Linked DNA regions of Neurospora crassa OR74A. The protein of the gene in region 1 purifies or fractionates together with the protein of each later gene. This does not show direct contact. Links are inferred from orthologs where the notes say so. Each region holds a gene or a part of one and is shown on either strand. Other genes may lie near its edges.

The links.
Region 2: the proteins of rpt-1 (region 1) and rpn-9 purify together in Saccharomyces cerevisiae (affinity purification with mass spectrometry; 6 studies listed by BioGRID, with this or other methods). This does not show direct contact. The link is inferred for Neurospora crassa OR74A from reciprocal best matches to the Saccharomyces cerevisiae genes RPT1 and RPN9.

Annotation. Positions count from the first base shown.
Region 1 is NC_026501.1:8,944,738-8,948,487, forward strand, and holds rpt-1 (26S protease regulatory subunit 7), read right to left. Parts: upstream 2,422-3,750; 5' UTR 1,855-2,421; coding exon 1,852-1,854; intron 1,788-1,851; coding exon 1,696-1,787; intron 1,625-1,695; coding exon 1,510-1,624; intron 1,433-1,509; coding exon 323-1,432; 3' UTR 65-322; downstream 1-64. Other genes in the region: NCU02839 (T-complex protein 1), read left to right, coding at 2,611-2,661, 2,775-2,826, 2,901-3,556, 3,663-3,750. UniProt on the Saccharomyces cerevisiae protein: The 26S proteasome is involved in the ATP-dependent degradation of ubiquitinated proteins. The regulatory (or ATPase) complex confers ATP dependency and substrate specificity to the 26S complex.
Region 2 is NC_026507.1:2,715,885-2,719,175, forward strand, and holds rpn-9 (proteasome regulatory particle subunit), read right to left. Parts: upstream 2,434-3,291; 5' UTR 2,059-2,433; coding exon 1,791-2,058; intron 1,707-1,790; coding exon 829-1,706; 3' UTR 580-828; downstream 1-579. Other genes in the region: NCU02375 (ubiquitin carboxyl-terminal hydrolase 2), read left to right, coding at 1-167, 255-356; nuo40 (NADH-ubiquinone oxidoreductase 40 kDa subunit), read left to right, coding at 2,779-2,915, 2,982-3,058, 3,130-3,224. UniProt on the Saccharomyces cerevisiae protein: Acts as a regulatory subunit of the 26S proteasome which is involved in the ATP-dependent degradation of ubiquitinated proteins.

The DNA of each region.
Region 1 (3,750 bases):
CACCATGTCTGCCATGGAGTTTTGCTGTCACATTTTGTCACATAGGTATGCAATCGCTTCAAATCCATGTTCATCATCAACAACAGTAGGCATGATACCTATTCATTCCGCCCGTATGTTCATTTCGCTTGTCAGGAGAGCCTACTGCATTGTGCCTACTGTGTGGGATCTGGCGGTCCAAACTCTCCCAAGTCCCAGCTATGAGTGCCATCTCGAGCCGCTCTTGATTCATCATCTATTACACATCTAGACTTCCGGTTTCAACACAAACCAAAAACCCCAAACTCCCCATTCCGCTATTGATGCGCTTCTTCCTCCCCGTTTAGTTGTACTGGGCATAGGCCGCAGTAGAGTTGAACTTGAGGTTGCCCTTGATGACCTTGTCCACCGCACTCAAAAAGTCCTTCTCCGACGCCACCTTCCTGCGCGCACGGATGGCGAACATGCCCGCCTCCGTGCAAACACTACGCAACTCAGCACCCGTCGCGTTCGGGCACAGGCGAGAAATGAGCTCCCATCGGATATCGCGCTCGACTGACATGCTCTTGGCATGAATGCGCAGAATGTTGGCACGACCCTCGAGATCGGGGAGAGAGAACTCAATTTTGCGGTCGATACGTCCGGGACGCATCAGGGCGGGATCCAGCGTGGAAGGACGGTTAGTAGCGAACATAACCTTAATGTTGCCACGGGCATCGAAACCATCCAGCTGCGTAATGAGCTCCAACATAGTACGCTGAACTTCATTATCACCACCCGCGCCGTCATCGAACCGGGCTCCACCAATAGCATCAATTTCGTCAAAGAAGATGATGCAAGCCTTCTTAGTACGGGCCATCTCGAAAAGCTCGCGGACCATGCGGGCACCCTCACCGACGTACTTTTGAACCAGCTCGGAACCAATGACACGGATAAAGGTGGCGTCTGTCCTGTTGGCAACGGCACGGGCGCAAAGCGTCTTACCGGTGCCGGGAGGTCCGTATAGCAGGGCGCCCTTGGGGGGATCGATACCGAGGTTGACGAACCGCTCTGGCGACAAGAGGGGCATCTCCACGACCTCGCGTAGCTTCTCGACCTGTTCCTTGCAACCACCGACATCGCCGTATGTGACGTCAGGCTTTTCCTCGACCGTCATCATGGTAACGCTCGCATCGATCTTGGGAGGTAGCGGAAGGAGAATCTGATACTTGTTTCTGTCGACGCCGACGCGCATTCCTTCCTCGATATCTGTCGGGCTGACTCGCTCGCCCAGCTGGACAACAAACTTGGCGATCTGCTTGACGTTGATGACGTACTTGCTCTTCGATTCGTCCTTCTCGTCAGGGATGATCTTGGTGCACCGCGCTACCTGAAGCGGTTGCTCTTCTGACATACGCTGACGGTCGGCTGCCACATCCCAAAGGTGAGGGGGCGCAAGGCCGGTATCTGATTCCTGTAGACCAAAAAGTATCACTGGTCAGCTAGATGCGCTTCGCGGTTTGTAGGGTAGCCACCGCAAGACTAGCATACCTTGACGCCAATCTTCTCATCCACGCTCTGCTGCTTCTCCTTTATTTGCTGTTCTAGCTTCTTGATGGCAGCACCGTAGGGCGCGGCGCCGTATGTCTTGAGGACCTGAATATCCCTTGACGGGGGTTAGACGACTTGTCCGTTGCGGTGGTAGTGGTGGGCGGGCTCTCTTGGGCGGCAACATACTCGTCTGAGAGGGGAGTGATCTTCTTCTCCTCGACTTCATCGTCGCCAAACGTTTTCCTGTACTTCTCCCAGTTTTGACCTGTGGCAGAAGGCTATTCCCGGTGTCAGTCGTGCAAAGTGGCGTTGCACCTTTGGGTAGGGCGACTGCAAGCATACCATGATGACGGCGGGTGGGAATGACGCTTCCCGTTTGGACTAGGTAAGGCGAAGAAGGGTGGGTAATCGAAAGGATCGGGTCGGTAATTAAAGTCGCGATGGCTCCGGGCGAGAGATTCCTTGTTTGGCGTGGGTCGTTCGTGGGGTTGTAGAGATCTCGGCGCGGGTTTGATGTGGTGTGTCGGGTTCAAGTTGGTTTGATGGGTGTTCAGTGCTTGCTTGATGTGATGGATGGATGGATGGAGATGGTTCGTCAAGGTCCAACTGCCACCACTCACTGACAGAGGGTCGAAGCTCAATCGTTGCCGTAATCCATGCGCTGCCTTGCGGGCGAGGGAGCTACGGGTGGGTGCCACCTTGACAGCACCTACCTAACCCTATCCGGTTAGACTGTGTAAAGTTACAGCGCCGCAGGTACCTTTTCCACCGCCCACCGCTCAGCAAAAAGCAGCCGACAAAAAATTACCACCTGCCAGCCCACCTTTGCGCCCGCGCCAGCACTCACTTTACGGTCCCGCAGTGGAAACATTGGTACGGAGGGGACGGTGTGTGTGTGTGTTTTTGGCCCATTGATTCCAGACCAGCAAAGAAGGAGAAGAGGAGAGCTCTGCCTTACAACACAACAACTGCACTGCACCCAGCGCAAGCCGATTCCCCAAAACTGTCAACTCGAATTTCCGGCAGTTTCTGATCCCCCCATCCGACCTCCCGTCTACTATCTCCCATAATCCCAAATACCAGATCAAACAAGCTTGCACCATGGCGACCGCACCGGCAGCTACCCAGACGGCGAGCAATGCGACTTTCAGGGTGCGTCCCGCTTTTTGGAACCTGACCCCTCGATAGGAGTCGGTGCGAAAGCTCCAGGAGGAGGGGTGAAGCTCTGTGGCAAGCCAGTTGCTGATAGCCCACCATGTAAACAGGACAAGGAGAAGCCCATCGCCGTTCGCTCATCCAACATTGTCGCCGCCAGAGGTATGCCTACAACATTTTGTCATTCCGTCTTGTGTCGTTGTTGTCTGGGGTGCTGACACAGAGACATGCACCAGCCGTCGCCGATGCCGTCAGAACGTCGCTGGGACCGCGGGGTATGGACAAGATGATCATGACTGGAAAGGGGGAGACCATCATCACCAACGACGGCAGCACAATGTTGAAGAGCATGTCGGTCATGCACCCCACAGCCAAGATGCTCGTCCAGCTGTCGCACGCCCAAGATGTCGAGGCCGGTGATGGCACAACCTCGGTCGTCGTCCTTTGCGGTAGCTTGCTCGGTGCCGCCGACAGGCTACTAGGCAAGGGCATCCACCCCTCAGTCATCTCCGAAGCTTTCCAAAGAGCCGCCGCCGCTGCCGTAGACGTCCTCCACGACATGTCGCAACCCATCTCCCTCACAGATACCGCCTCGCTCCTCCAGGCCGCCAACACTTCGCTCTCCTCCAAGATCGTGTCACAATACTCCAACCTCCTCGGCCCCATGGCCGTCAACGCAGTCACCAAGACGATAGATCTCAAGACCGCCGAGAATGTCGACCTCAAGAACATCCGCATAATCAAGAAGGTCGGCGGTACGATCGAGGACAGCGAGCTGGTTGATGGTCTCGTCCTTACACAGCCCGTCATCAAGAGCGCTGGTGGTCCCGTCAGGATGGAGAAGGCCAGGATCGGTCTTATTCAGTTCCAGCTCAGCCCTCCCAAGCCTGATGTGCGTATACCTTTCTGGCGACCATAACCTACCCACCTTGCCTGCTGGCCCTAAATCGCCCAAACACTACCCTTTTCGTGCTTTTACTAACAACTCACTCTTACAGATGGAAAACACCATCTCCGTAAACGACTACCGCCAGATGGACAAGATCGTCAAGGAAGAGCGCACCTACCTCCTCAACATGGTCAAGA
Region 2 (3,291 bases), on another chromosome or scaffold:
CTTTACAACTCAACATGCTGCCTTATACGACACGCGCACGAACACAGGATCTCAAAGATAACTACGAGCTACAGCGGTCCTGCACTTACGATCTTCTATGCGTTGTTGTGCACGTTGGCGACATGGATACCGGACACTACATTTCTTATTGCCGGGTTGGCGACCAGGTGAGTCTGACTAGTGAACCATGACACACATCTAGTTCCTGAAGGGTTAGACTTGCTGACCCGCTGCCTTTGGCACATTTATTTAAGTGGTTCGCATTTAACGATCACAAAGTTGAACTGGCCCAGAAGTCTGATGTGCTAAACGCAAAGGCCTATCTTCTCTTTTACATTGTTCGGTCCCTGTCTTGAGCTCGGATAAACGGTGTACGAGTAGGGGCAAGTAAGCAGCAAATATTTTTTTCCTGTGTATGATGTTGTTTCCAGTAAACACGTGCCAGATGGCTCATTTACGTTTTGTACACTACTTGATCTTTTTGCGGCGTTCAAGGAAGCATATTTTGCCGGCGTATTTTGGATTTGCCTTTGTTCATGGAGCGTACATGGAGAGGATTCACATAGACATAACTCAGGCCAAAGCATGGGCCTGGATTTTTAGAGAATGGAGGACGTACGCCGTGGGCGTTGTCATGCGTTATGGGTATTCATATGTATCATGCAAAGTCGGTCTGCCTCATGCAGCGGAATAACATCATGCCTTTAGCTGGCCTTGTTCCCTGATCTAAGCATTAGGTTTACTCCTGTATCTCCAGGTTTGATGCCATCCGTTTGAACGCCCGAATTGTTCCCATCTCCTCACACCGTCCGTAGATTCGTCCACCCTTTAAGCCCAAACATCCTGGCCCACACCCTCGATCCAGTTACCCAGCTTGTCAACACTGGAATCCCACTCTTGCAGCCGTTGCCTCATGTTCTTGATCTGCTGCATGTCCAACACCTTGGGCTGCACCCAGTTGATGTGGGCCACCTCGTCAACCTGGTCGATCGTGCCCCGCAGTAGATCCAAGCTCAGCGCCTTCATGATCAGGTGCTCGATCTCGTCGGGGTGTACCTTGGTCTCGTTCGCAATGGTGGAGAAAGACATGGCGCGGTCATGGGGCGGGCGGCGAAACACGGCCTCGGTCAGCGCCGCCAGATAGATCTTCTCGCGCAGCTGGCGCGTGTGCTGCGCCAGCAGCGGGTCCGAGCTGATGTGGCTGGCCAGTAGGTCGTATGCGGCAAGGTCGCCGCGGTTGAAGGCAAAGAGGAGCTGGTGCAGCCACTTGTGCCGGTCGTCGATGGTGAGGGCGTCGAGGATGGGGTGCAGCAGAAGCTCGCCAAAGTTGTAGATGCTCGAGCTGACGAGGGCCGCGATGGCCAGGTTGTAGGCGCGCTGGCGCTGCTCCTCGAGTGAAAGTGACTTGACGTCGATGCAGGCGAGGTACAGCAGCGCGTTCTTGTAGTAGGAGCCCCAGTCGGACTTGGCTTGGAAGTATTTGGCGTTGGTGTCGTAGAAGGCGGCGTGCACGACCGACTCCACCGAGTCGAAGTTGTCGAGGATTCGCTCGGCCGTGTCCAGGTCCTTGCGCGCGCCGTCAAGGTCGGAGAGGTCGAGCTTCACGCGGGCAACGGCGATCGTGGCGAATACATAGGCGTCTTGAGAGTCTTCGTGGTCGACCTTCTTGACGACGGCTTCCAAAAAGGAGAGGCGCTCTTGGTTGTCTACGGTTTGCGCACCCAGGCGTGGTTAGTGCTAGCTGCCAGATGCATGTTTGGAAGCAGAGGAAATGAAGACCGTCTGCGCACCTCTACATTGTGTGGCGGCCTTGAGAGCAAGATCAACGAGCTTGAGCTGGTTGATCTTGTCGGCGAACTTGAGAATGAAGACCTTGTAGAACTGTAGCCTCTGCGGGGCACTGCCGGGGTGGTTGAAGAACTCAAGCAGCAGGTTGGTGAGCTGATGCCACAGCTTGCGCTCCCATAGTGTCTCGAACTCAAGGACGAGGGGTTGGAGTTCTTCGGGCGCCTGGTCGCGCTGCTCGGCGAGGAAGTCGGAGATGGTGTCGACGTTCATGGCTGTGGTGTTGTGTCTAGGTGTGGGTGTGGGTGTGGGTGTGGGTGTGGGTGTGGGTGTGTGTGTCTGAGTCTTCTATCGATCCTTGCTGTCCAGTCCTTGGGGAGGTAGGCAGATTCTCGAGGATCCGGTCTCTTTGGTGGAAACGTCGGTGAGTCTGCTGCGGATGGAAACCAGCGTACTTATCGTGGGATGTTGCTCGTTGTAGAAAATCCCGGCGGAACAATGCAGTGGTACGTCTACAATGGAGGACGGGATGAAAGTGGAAGTGTTGTTTTGAGGTTGTCTTGGTTGACGTCTTGCAGTGAAGCCTTGACGCGGCATTAGGCGTGCAGCCAGCTACGGTCGGTCATTGTGGATGCTCTCCCAGCACTGTGGAGGCCCCCACAGTCACTGCCAAGTGGAAGCTGGGTGAAGCTAAGGTACGTACTGGAGGCGGGAGCCCAAAAGGTACATGTCTATCTGGCAGAGGTACGTACTGCCGTTGAGTGTAAGTGAGGAAGCTTGGCACACGTGATTCCCGTCAGCAGTTTGGTCGCTGGGTACATTGAAGGGGGGGGGGGGGTGCTGACGGCAGGCGGGCAGCAGGCGGGCAGCGAGAGCCGGCTTCGACGTCCCGGATTCGATATTGAAGACGGCAGCTTGAAGCTCCGGATAGCCTCTGATTCCATCACCAATTGAACGGGATCCGGCCAGCCCTGCCACCCCCCAACTCACAAGATGGCTCCCTTGACGGCCGCGATGCGGTCGACTCCCAGAATTATCGTTTCCAATGCCTTTGGCTTTCAGCGACGAGCTATCTCCGACGTGACCATCACCCGCACCGGCAAGCCCATCATCCGTAACCAGGGTGGCCGGTAATTGTTGCTATATCTCTGCTTGGGTAGAATGGGCGATTGCTAACACGTCGTCTACCTCCACAGCTCCTCCCTCGGTGGACATACGGCGACAGTCTTCGGTGCGACCGGCCAACTCGGCCGCTACATCGTCAACAGACTAGGTACGATCTGGCGACTTTGTGGCGTAGGCCTCTATAGAGATCACCATGGCTTATATCAAGAACATTTGCAGCGAGACAAGGATGCACTGTCGTCATTCCCTTCCGCGACGAGTACAACAAGCGCCATCTGAAAGTTACGGGTGATTTGGGCAAGGTGGTCATGATTGTGAGCTTTTCCCCACAACAAGAGTCATGTCCACACAGTCGAGGCCCACGTACGCGCAAGGATCCAG